Linked DNA regions of Saccharomyces cerevisiae S288C. Changing the gene in region 1 together with any one later gene gives a genetic interaction. Each region holds a gene or a part of one and is shown in the gene's direction. Other genes may lie near its edges.

Evidence for each region. Genes that interact genetically often act in the same process or in processes that back each other up.
Region 2: mutations in YIL055C (region 1) and DAN1 together harm fitness more than expected from each alone (negative genetic interaction), as found in Saccharomyces cerevisiae (one large-scale study listed by BioGRID).

Annotation. Positions count from the first base shown.
Region 1 is NC_001141.2:248,898-257,509, reverse strand, and holds YIL055C (uncharacterized protein), read left to right. Parts: upstream 1-3,584; coding exon 3,585-5,468; downstream 5,469-8,612. Other genes in the region: 60S ribosomal protein eL34 RPL34B, read left to right, coding at 447-483, 956-1,284; glycerol-1-phosphatase GPP1, read right to left, coding at 1,643-2,395; YIL054W (uncharacterized protein), read right to left, coding at 2,650-2,967; VHR1 (Vhr1p), read right to left, coding at 5,597-7,519.
Region 2 is NC_001142.9:708,311-712,561, reverse strand, and holds DAN1 (Dan1p), read left to right. Parts: upstream 1-2,854; coding exon 2,855-3,751; downstream 3,752-4,251. Other genes in the region: DAN4 (Dan4p), read left to right, coding at 1-307; YJR149W (putative nitronate monooxygenase), read right to left, coding at 4,188-4,251. UniProt on the Saccharomyces cerevisiae protein: Component of the cell wall.

The DNA of each region.
Region 1 (8,612 bases):
GGTGTTTTCCTTTCAGCTTTTTTTTTTTTGAATTTTTGAATTTTTACTTTCATTTGCTTTCGGAGGTCCCGCTTCCGACAATAGTCCGCTTCATTTGTCCCTTCCCATGAAAGTTCATTCCTTTGGGCAGAGAGACCGTCCTTCTGGGAGGAGATGGAATTGACGCCTGGGGGAGGAGCCAGTAACAATTCTAACTCTTCCTCTTCCTGTCAGTGGCCCCAGCACCCGTTCAGACGGTATGGTAACGGGCTCTCAGGAGCCGTTTCATCGCAGCTGGTGGGTAAGTTTGGAATGTTTCAATAGCATTCTACGTAAAAGTTGATGAACTTATTAGTTGTAAGTAGTAAATAACGGGTAGTACATAGTATTTGGCACTTGTTATATTCTTTTGATTCAATTTACTTTGATTGAAACTGAGAATAGATTAGCAACGAACAACCCTAAAAATGGCTCAACGTGTTACTTTCAGAAGAAGAAATCCATGTATGTTACTGAACTATTTTTTTGAGTTTTCATGAAAACTTATTATGAACTTATTATGAACTTATTTTGAACTTTCATTGTGGGAAAATGAGGTTAAAAGGCGAACGAGTGCTATTTAGAGAAGCGTACCACTTAGAAATAGGAAGAACCAGATCATCGATAGGGGAATCAACTATGCAAGAACTTTCAAATATATTGGCATGACATTAAAACATTAGACAGCATGAACGAACAGTATCCAGTAATGTGGACAGCAATAAGTTGACTTCAGTTTCTAAGTGGAAGACCTTGGTCGACCCAAATGGAAAATGAATTTTTCTCCGCTGTTGAAAGATTGAAATGAGATAATATTCATTCAGCAACGCCGAAATACTTTTCATATGGAGCAATCCCACTCAAGTTCTTAAATCATAGGATAATAAAGAAGTGATTACTAACATTAATGGGAAAATTTTCTCTTTACTACGTACAGACAACACCCGTTCTAACAAAATCAAGGTTGTTAAGACCCCAGGTGGTATCTTGCGTGCCCAACACGTTAAGAAGTTGGCTACTAGACCAAAGTGTGGTGACTGTGGTAGTGCTCTACAAGGTATTTCCACTTTGAGACCAAGACAATACGCTACTGTCTCCAAGACCCACAAGACTGTTTCCAGAGCTTACGGTGGTTCCAGATGTGCCAACTGTGTCAAGGAAAGAATCGTCAGAGCTTTCTTGATTGAAGAACAAAAGATTGTTAAGAAGGTCGTTAAGGAACAAACTGAGGCTGCTAAGAAGTCTGAAAAGAAGTCTAAGAAATAAATTTAAATAAGCATTCCTTTTATAATTACTCTAACTTCTCGTCGTACTAAAAAAAAACACTTTTATAGTAAGATATAAAACAAAAACGAAGATTGAATCTTCCTTTTTTATTTCTGTGTTAAATTCTCTAAACCAGCTTGATTTGCGCGAACCACCTGTCACGGCAGATCATCCGAAGACGACAAAGAAAAGGATGCATTACATCGGTTTAAATTTTTCTATTCGTATTTTATAAGTATTATATTATATTATTAAGTCATGCAGATATAAAATTATACAATTGGTCGGAAATGGAGGGAAATCATACATTTTTATTTTATTTTTAGCGTAGTAGTTTTATCAAAAAAATAAAAGAAAATTACCATTTCAACAAGTCATCCTTAGCGTATAAGTAGTCATCAAAGATCAATTCGACTTCATCGGTTTCAGCGTTGTATTCACCGACTCTGATAGATTCGTGGTTCTTGACAATGATGTCACAACCCTTTTCCTTCAAGAAGTCCAAATCGAAAGTGGTAGCAATACCAACGATTTTACAGCCAGCAGCCTTACCAGCAGCAATACCAGCTGGTGCGTCTTCAAAGACAACAACCTTAGATTTGGATGGGTCTTGTTCATTAATTGGGAAACCCAAACCGTTTCTACCCTTTAAGTATGGTTCTGGGTGAGGCTTACCTTGCTTGACATCATTGGCGGTGATGAAGTATTCTGGTCTCTTGATCTTCAAAATGTCGAACCATTTCTTGGCCATGTCACGGGTACCAGAGGTGGCGACAGCCCATTTTTCCTTTGGCAAGGCGTTCAAAGCATTACACAACTTGACAGCACCTGGAACTTCGATGGAGTGTTCACCGTACTTTTCTGGGATTTCACCTTCTAGCTTGTTAACGTATTCTTCATCAGCAAAGTCTGGAGCGAACTTGGCAATGGCATCGTAAGTTCTCCAACCGTGAGAGATGTGAATAACGTGTTCGGCATCGAAGTAAGGCTTGTCTTTACCGAAATCTCTCCAGAAAGCAGCAATGGCTGGTTGAGAGATGATGATGGTACCGTCAACATCGAATAGAGCGGCGTTGATTTTCAAAGATAAAGGTTTTGTGGTCAAAGGCATTGCGATGGTTTGTATATTTGCTTTTGTTGTTCTGATATATTTTAAAACATTGAAACGTTTCATAACAAGGAAACTTGGAAAGAAAAAAATGGCAATCAAGAGATACTTACGAAAGATTTATATACATTATCAATTGAACGAAAATGAACAAGACGACAATATGAACAAAAAGGAAAGAAAGTGATTAACAGAGTAAGAAAAGAAAAAAAAAGGAAAAAAGAAAAGAAAAAAAGAAAAGAGGAACTCACACATCATCAAAGGTCAAAATGGTCAAAATGGTCAAAATTAAAAGACACAAAGGAAAAGGTGAGTAAGGAACAATAAAAGCACATACCATCATCAAACAGCGTTAAAAAAATTATGTTAATGATGATGATCGCAAGAGTAACAGTGATAATGGTGATGATGATTATTCCCATAAAGAAAACCGGACAATGAGAATCCTGCAATTTACCAGGCGCACGCGGGTTCGTGTATGCGAGAAAATGATACGGATTTCCTGCTTGTCTCACTATTAACGCGTGGCGGGGTAAGACCCAAGGAAGACAGACAAAAAAAGCCTTCGGGGCCATGCCATGTCATTGCCGTGGACTGAGACAATTACAATATTGCTTTTGTTCTCTTTCTTTTGACCCTGTGACGTGTTTCGTAAGAATCCCACTTAAGAGATGAAAAAGAAACGTGGTGGTACTTCGCACCCAGACCATACGTCTTCCACTCTCTTGATGGGAGCGGCGAGCTTCCGCACCCACACATTCTAATTGCCGCGCCTTCCTCCCACCCGTACAGAGTGATATCCCTTGGTACGATTGACCAGGGTGTGTGGCGCAAGCAAATTTTCCGTTTTAGTTCAATGATGTCTTAATTGACACTGCGCTTGTTTTGAGCGATGGGTTCGCAGCCCTGGAAGACCCGCAAAAAATTAGGGGAATGGAATATATTCTCTACTCCATTTTTCAAATGTTACCTTTTGTTTGTGTGCATTGTATTATTCCATAGTCGTAATGTTGGCCTTCTTTCGTGCGCTTTCCTAAAGGTTTTTACGCTTGCTTAACTGTTAAGTTAACAAGACTTCCTCCCACACTTGTTTCTTTCATTTTTTTTTTTTTTTAGATTGGTCTTGGCCTCCAGTTCAGTTGGCTGATACACGAGAGTTTGCTGTCTCTCCTTACAATACGCTTGCTTTATAATGACTCTAGAACCACACTATAGTGCCAAGTCGGCTGCTTCAGCCAGTGCCTTTGTTGCCCGTTCTGCGACCGAAAGCTCAACAGCAAGCACAAAAGCTGCTCCTAGGAAAAAGACGTACTCGCAGTCAAATGGTATTCCCATAAGGATTGATAATCTCCCTCCGGGCAAGACTTGGGCCCAGGTAAAATATTTGATAGGCGGAATCATATACCATACCAATATTTTACAGGTGAAAATGCTGCCTCCAATGACTTCCATGGTTCCTCCTTTTATTACTTTTCAGAGTTGCATTGTCATTCTGAAGAACTCGATAGATAACGAGTCCCTGGAAAACTTACTACTTACTTTGAACACCTACCAATGGGATTATCATGATCTGTTCGTTTACCTGTTGCCGTACACTAATGATTCTCCTTCACTGCGATATCCAGAAATCAGTGATAGCAACAATGACGTCCGGAGTGCTCCCGATGAAACTAAAAGATCTATTTCTCCTCGATATGCAAGCCATGTTTCATCTGTGACACCGCAGCCACCATCCGCTTCTACCCCACCTTCTCAATTTTTCAGTTTTTCTCCTGAAGTGAGCCTTCGAAAGAATGAGAACATAACGCCATTGCCCACGCCTGTTCCCGTACCTGTTGGTGTGCCACCTCTTGCTCCCCCGCCTCATGGTCCATTTTCGACTTCGATGCTACCTATGTTGGGTGCTCCTCCGGGAACGGTACCTAATATGCAGATGCCCTATCAAACTACTCTACCTTCACCAACAGCTGCTGCTACTGCTGGTGGTCCACTTGCTTCCCCTACACACTATCCCCGTCGTCGGCATTTCTATCACCAGAACCAAAGCCAGTTTCAAAAATACATGCATAATAGCCCCAGGAATCCAGATACTGGCACAGGCCCTCGTCTTTCTCAGCAGCATCACCTCTCCTTAAGGAACAATAAGATAAATCCCTCTTATAACGAAATATCTGCCCTTTACAACTTGAACATGGCCTCAAATTCCAATAATAATGGTAATATTCCCACTACAAGTACGAATGGTGATGACCGTGCCCTCCAAGCAAAGAATGGTGGAACAATTACACCTTCACAAACTCAAATAAATCACAAAAGATTAAAGCATATCTTTAACGAGAAAAGCTTTAGAAAACAAATGACGAATAGAGGTATGTGGCAGCTGAAGATCATAAATTTCCCACCCTATATACCTATAGAATTCTTGGAGAAATTATCAGAGTCTGATTTCAATGAGTTAATGAACCAAGAGAAGTTCACAGTTATTGAAATTAAAGAGAAAGGACAATTGGAAAAATTTGGAAGGCTAAGATGGACAGTTCTAAAAGATTTTATAAAACTGAAATGCCCCAAGCTATTAAGACTACAGGAAAGACAGTTTCTACAGCAACAAAACGAAGCATCTTTACTCAATGAATCTATGGACGCTCTAAAGATATCAGAAAATGAGAACACCAACGGGAGTGCAAATAATAGCACATACACAAATGGCGGACCTCGAACATCTATCAATAATACAAGGGAATTCTATGTAGGGGTTTATGAAGATCATGAAGAAGCAACTCTACTGAGGTTTGAATTACCGGAAGATGAATTAGAGGAGTTTAATAGAAATTTGCCAACTACTTTTGCACAAAGTGGAAACGTCTCTGACTCCGAAGGTGATAGCAAGGCGAAATACTTTAAAGTTAGCACAATTGTGTATAATGCCATTGTTGGGTTCCACGATAAAGAGCTGTCTGATTTGACGTTCGAATCCTTACAAGACCAGGAATATTCACTGGGGTACAAAATTCATGTAATGGAACTGCCACCATTTGACGAGGATGAATTTGAAAATCAACGGCAGCAGTTCTAAGCATGGATTAAGAGGATATTATTATTTTATCTTACATAAATATGTACGCGAATTGAAAAAGAAAAAAATATTGTGTAGAATGTGTATTAGGCAGTTATGTATGTAGACAATTTTGTTTTGTATTTTTATCAAAGTAAAGGCTGGAAAACCGGCTGTGGTAAATTGCCATTTTGAAAAGAATTTTTGTTCTTTGTAACGTATGGCGCTGGCACAGACTCGTTGTGGTCATTATTATTTGTGTTGGAGGTGGAGGTGCCAGTGTTTAAAGTAGTGTTGCTATTTTCTTCATTCATTGGCGATTTAGAGATCCTATTAAGGATGTTATCAAAGGCAGTTAAGCTTGATTTTTTTGGATCATCTTTTTCTTGTGGTACCAATGGAATAGAAGGCATAGAGGGGTTTTCACCTATGCATGACATTTTGGGCAACGTAATGGGCACTGGTATTTTTGCATCTTGTAGTGGAATGGTGGAAATGTCCTTAATTACGAGATGAATCTCGCTCGTGGAAAAGGAATCAAATAACTTTGCCAAACTTTCATCGTTCAAGAGGTTATCGTTATGGAAAATACCAAAATTCTTGTTCTTGTTGATAATATTAAATAAATTTTTACAGTTTTCCAAAACTTCAGACACCGTGGGTGGTCCATTGCTCAACTGGTGGAAAGTAAAGGCTTGCTCGCGATCATTAAATCTAATGATCACTCTGCGATTAACATCTTTATTGGCCGATTGAGGCTTCATTGGTAGCGTAGTTAAAAGTGTAGCTCTATTCGATAGAGTGTTATTATTATTCAACATAACGTCACTTGAAACGACAGGAGGGCTTCTCTTAACCCTCTTGTTAGGTGAAGATGATGGTGGTTCTGACGCACAGGAACTAGCCAAAGGATACTGAACCATCACAATATGATGTATGATTTCACTTAAAGGGTAAAGCGTGGGGTCGAAGCCAAAATCCTTGACAATACCACCTATGACCAAATACAGTAGCCTTAGTTGTACCTGAGCCGCGGGGAAATGAGATAAGTTATGTCTTGTAGCGGCACCGAACAGTCTTTGAGACAACAAAGCCAGATTTTCAGGAGAGCACGTCTTGGCAGTGATATACTTCATTGAAGAAGAGACCAAGTTGGAGAAAAATCGTTCGATAACGAATGCAATAGACATTCGGATTGACATTTCACCCAAAATCTCCAGATTTGCGTATATATCAATGGATCCTGCAGCCTGCGAAATGTCCTGACAAGTTCTTGATCTTTGGATTTGTAGGAGTAACTTTTCCCTCAGGAAAAATGGCACGGTAGAATCTATCGGGATGTTTGTGGTAATGTTAGGTTGCTGGCTGAGTGAAGACGTAGCAAAATGTGACAGGTTTGGCCCAGTATATGGGTCCTTGAGAGCTTGTTCTGATAGGGGTACGACATTCGTAACAAGATCGTGCACTAGCATGGTGACTATATCGTTATACTTTTGTTGGGTCGAAGTAACCGATGGAGATGAGTCATTTTGGGTGCCCACGGTTGGAAAAATGGTTCCGTTATGACTCTGGTGACTCATGAGAGGCTGGAACTTGTTTGAAAACTGGAAATCTGCAGCATAATTAGAACTAGGCAGGAAGTCCGAATTGGAGCGCTGGTAGATCGACGGAGAGATCTCGTCGTCAGAAGTAGAATTTGACGAGATGCTGTTGTTGACATTGCCGCCACTGCCATTGGCTATGCTGAGAGCGTAGCGTTTTTTTGATCGTTTTCTATTCCTTCTCACTGATTGCACAGCAGCAGTGACTAACTTTTCGAATTCCTTAGAGCAGCTTACAGGGTATCCAAACTCCGTTCTTAATATTGTAGCAATCTGCTTTATGTTTTGATCTTGTTCGCTTGCCTTATATTGACTTAGTTGGAATTTGTCTATCAGCTCCAGCCTTCTGCTCGAAAACTGTTTCCATTTCTTTTCATCATTAAAATTGAGTAATTCTCTAATCTTATGAGTTGCTCCATTCCCAGAAAACTTATTTATTCTATATTGAGTGAATGTTGGAGGACCGTTCATATGTGTATAGGATATAAGCAACGAAGAAGAATAGGTAGAAAGAGAATAAAGAAGGTTTTAAAGCTATAACTAGTAGAAAAGAAAAATGTAGGAAGGGAATGCGGATGCGTTTATGCTAAGATGCGATGGGGACAATAGAAAAAGAAGAGAAAAAAAAGGAAGAGGAAGAGGTAGTGGTATAGAGAAAGAGAGAGAAAAAAAAAGGCTAGTAGTATTTGTATAGTAGGGAAAGGGCTAGATTAGAACTGAACCAAGCTGACCTGAATTGACTCAATAACACCATTCTCACCCACACAAGTACCGAAGATCCAAAAGGCAAGAATCATGGAAGAGAGCACATTGATTTATAGTAAAAAAAAAAAAAAGAGAAGACGACGGTAGAAAGATTTCAGGGAACATATGGCTTACACTTATGCTGAAGAAGTAAGAGGGAGAAGCGAAGCAAATATAATCTGTCACAATGCACAGTGCGCAAACGTAATCTGCCCACTCAGCTAATAGCTCCTGCCATGATTCTGCTGCGTAGTCTATATGAAAGGAAACGAAGGTCAGAGATGAAAAAGAGATAAAAAAGAAAAGAAACTTCTCCGAGGGGCGCAGAATTCAGGGCAAAACAACATGGAATCGATCAAAAGTCATAGTCACCCACGGAAACGTGGCGCCTATTCCGTGGCAGCTACCCGCCCGCCGCTTGTTCTCAGGGCACTTGTCCACTGCATTCCGATGTTCCGCGGAAATTAGCACGGCCTCTTATCCCCGGCTCCGCACGATTCCCTGTGTCCGTGCATAACGAATGACTCTTGTGTCGTGTTATCCGGGCTTTCTCCTTTTCCTTTCCCCGAGAAAGCAACCGACGCATACGGATATAAGCGGATCCCACCGAAAAGGAGACTCCACGGTCTTGGTGAATAACATCGCGCAGATTATTCTGCGAACCGTGGCTAATAGGAGCATGCCCGAAGAAATGATTATGGGTGCGTGATCACCAATCTGTGTGAGGCTGTCGAAGATATCTGATAATCAGTAAGCGATAAAAAAAAAATAAAAATAAAAAAATAACGACACCAGCAGGATTTGAACCAGCGCGGGCAGA
Region 2 (4,251 bases), on another chromosome or scaffold:
GGGTGCCTGTACCACCCTGACTACTGTCGATGCAGGGATTAGCATGTTTACCAGAACCGGATTGTCTATCACTCAAACTACTGTGACCAACTGCTCAGGTGGAACCTGTACCATGTTAACTGCACCAATCGCGACCGCTACCAGCAAAGTCATCTCACCAATTCCAAAAGCCTCCTCGGCTACTTCCATTGCTCATTCATCTGCTTCTTATACTGTCAGTATCAATACCAACGGTGCCTATAATTTCGATAAAGATAACATTTTTGGTACCGCTATCGTTGCTGTTGTCGCTTTATTACTGCTATAGTGATACAATATAATCTTCACAAGCATATAAACAATTGTAAAATAATTTAAATTGACTTGAAAGAAATTTTAAATCTATACTTGATTCATGTAGCACATAATACTACGGTTTGTGAACATACTCCTATACACTTTGAATGGTTTGTATGATATACAGGTATCTAAACATTAGTGTTACCAGTTCGTATATTAACACTAGTTAAATTTGAATCCTCTAAGGTATCGCCAACAAGTAAAATTTTACATTTAATTGAGAAGTTTTTTAATTTTTCTAAGAAAACATTAAAAATATCACAATATGGGCTTCAGCCTAAAATTATGGTTTTTTTTTTCCCTCATCCTTCATTTTATTACCTCCGTTTATTGACGTGTTCGACAACTCACATATGAAGCTTTAAATACTTTGTTCACTGTTAGTTTAAATAAAATTTAGCCTTTAGGTTAAAAATCGTGTCAAAAAAGGAATTCTTCCAAGAACATGAACTAAAGCTCTTCTTAAAATAAAGTTATGTAAGATAGAACTACGCGGCACAAAGATGGAATTGAGAAATAACGCTCCATAAAGTTGACGCTGCTAAATTCTAGGTCACAAGGCATTAGAAATGAGGGCCTTTGAAAAAATTTATTCAAGTAAACTGCTTTCTGAAGAGTTCGCTCTCATCGACATTGGTAGAAGAATAGTGTAGTGTAGTAGCAACCGTTAGTAGTTTATTAATGTCTAAAATTCAGTATAACTAAGAATAGAAGCAAGTATTCTTATACGGTATAGCAGAAACGTATAACTGATGCGGCGATGACGAATGTATTCAAAATGATGGTATTTCAGTGATTTGCTATATTTCCAATGTAATAACTCGCATCCCTACGTATATTAAATTTGAATTAACATTGAATTAATAGATCTTTAACGTAACTTCTTCCGCTAGTTTCGCAGTAGTATCTTGTTTCCTAGCCTGGAGCTATGAAGTATACTGTTTGGTCACTTTATTCAGTTACTATGGTTACTAAAATTATAAACCACCCGTTCCGACAACGACAATGAAGATCTATTTTGCAAATTTGGAACAGAAATAACCATAACCATGAGGTTCGTTATCGTTGACTACATATTACAATCCGAAATGAACATTCGGCCTAGAATGCATTGTACCTTTACAATACTTTGTAAAACATCTTTCAATGTGTATTTTCCTAGCTTAGGTAACACAACTAGGTAACTTATTGGGATGGTTGAGTCTTAAGTGCAGGCCATTTATTATCAATACTGAATCTTGTATGTTTTTGTCAACTCTTGACAGAAAGCTTCAGTCAGCGAAGCAAACTTTCGACCTTCTGTATCATATTTTTCTGCTCTATTTATAGCGAAAGAGAGAAGCCTACAAGAGGATAAGTACTAATCTTGTGATTATTGATTTTCTCCAAAGATTGGGAAAATTACTTAGTTGCACAGCGGAAATGTTTCGATCTCTGACTTTGTAATCGTCAAAATATTCTAGCAGAGCGCAACTTATTTAATTCATACTGTGCGTTCTCCTTGTGGTTTCTAAGACAATCTTTGAGCATGTTTATGGATGCACTTAGGGGTCCTACAAGCCTTCGTATGAAGTTGCCCCTCGCAAGCACACTATAAATTCATGAACAATTGCGCAGTCAAAGTTAGATTGTAAGCCGAATTCAAACGATTTCAACAGTCGTAGCTAACGAGGCCTTTTGTCTCACACCCTTACAAAGGGACTGTAGAATGCAAGGGCAAACAGGCCTGAGGTAACTTTAAAATATAATGTACCTTGAAAACTATGTATACATTGCATTTATTAAGCAGTAGGGTATTTTGTTTGCAAGAAAATAAAGCTCAAAATATCTTTGGAGTTTGACAATAGTATAGAAAAAATAGCTCAGCAACCTTAATAAAAAAAGGGTCATTGGGCAAAGCGTTTTAAAAAGATTTAAGTGGTAGTGTTTAAAGTGAAAGAGATTGATATAGTTAAAAATTGTTGAGCTCAATTCACGCTGGATTCGGCGATCCGTTTTCTTCAATCCTCACGTGCTTTCTTCGTTTGAGTGCAAAAGTTCATATGATGCTATCTCCCGCTTATCTTATTAGTCGAAAATGGGGAGAATTTCCTATTTTATCTGTCGTTTAGCACATATGGCCAGGAAAATACATAAGGTTTCGCCGAACGACGGGGTCAATTCGTCCTTTTTGTACACATCGTTTAATTTATGAGGAAAAATTGATGAATGTATCCTCCGTAGACGCTCCTCTGAAAAGTTTCATGTTTCCTGCGCGTTCCTTTGATAGGCAATAAAACAATACAACGCGTGCCTTTGAAAATGCCAAGATCTATACGAGGCCTCTAACAAAACATCGTTCAGGAACAGAGAATGCTAGAAATGCAAAAGGGTCCCTGGGTACTCATTGAATAGAAATGATTGAAAATACTGCGTATAAAATAGCACGACTAAATGATACTATTTTTATGTCGACACGGTACTATTTCTTCTTTTTCAGATAAAAGTGTAGCATACTAAATATATACCCCAAGTAATGTCTAGAATTAGTATATTAGCTGTCGCCGCAGCATTAGTGGCAAGTGCAACCGCCGCATCCGTGACCACCACTCTATCCCCTTATGATGAAAGGGTCAATTTGATTGAATTGGCTGTTTACGTTTCTGATATTGGCGCCCATTTATCTGAATATTACGCTTTCCAGGCTTTGCATAAGACTGAAACATACCCACCTGAAATTGCCAAGGCTGTTTTTGCCGGTGGCGATTTCACCACCATGTTGACTGGTATTTCAGGTGATGAAGTGACCAGAATGATCACCGGTGTGCCATGGTACTCTACTAGATTGATGGGTGCTATTTCCGAAGCACTTGCGAATGAAGGTATTGCTACTGCAGTACCAGCTTCTACCACAGAGGCTTCTTCCACCTCCACTTCAGAAGCTTCTAGTGCCGCCACTGAGTCTTCTAGCTCCTCTGAAAGTTCAGCAGAGACCAGCTCAAACGCTGCTTCCACCCAAGCTACTGTTTCATCTGAATCTAGCTCTGCTGCAAGCACCATTGCAAGTTCTGCTGAAAGTTCTGTTGCAAGCTCTGTTGCAAGCTCTGTTGCAAGCTCTGCTAGTTTTGCCAATACCACAGCTCCAGTTTCTTCTACATCTTCTATCTCAGTCACTCCAGTGGTCCAAAATGGTACTGACAGCACCGTCACAAAGACTCAAGCTTCCACTGTTGAAACTACCATAACTAGTTGTTCAAATAACGTCTGTTCAACTGTGACTAAGCCAGTCTCCTCCAAAGCTCAATCTACAGCTACTTCTGTCACATCGTCAGCATCTCGTGTTATTGACGTTACCACTAACGGTGCTAACAAGTTCAATAACGGTGTTTTCGGTGCCGCTGCTATTGCTGGTGCCGCCGCTCTATTGTTATAGTGATCATGTGCGGCCCTGTACAGTTGTATAAATGATGTAAAATAATTGAATTCTCTTAATTTTAATATTTATAAGATATATACTATAAGCGTAAGGAAATTCCAAAGAAATTTGTTTTTTAGTTTGCAGTCTTGTGCTCCAACTATTTCCGGTCCTTTTCGAATTTCATGTCAGGAGCATTCCTTATTGCAGACAGCTTAACAGAAAAAAAACTGTGAAAAAAATAAATACCTTTAGATATTAAAGCCCTAAATTGATATCAAATTTTTTCCATATTTGGATTTTGTATTCCTTAAAGCCCACATCCTGTGAACGGTTACGCTCAAATAATGGCCAAGTAACCTACGATCCAATAGCGACGTATATATATCATATAGAAAAAGGTCATCCAGAAAATTTGTGTCAATAAGTATCAGGTCTTTTATATGTATTTATATTATTTTCCGTCAATTTTCAATCTTGCGCCCATAGTTTCAATTTTCTTGTCTGTTGTGATTCCT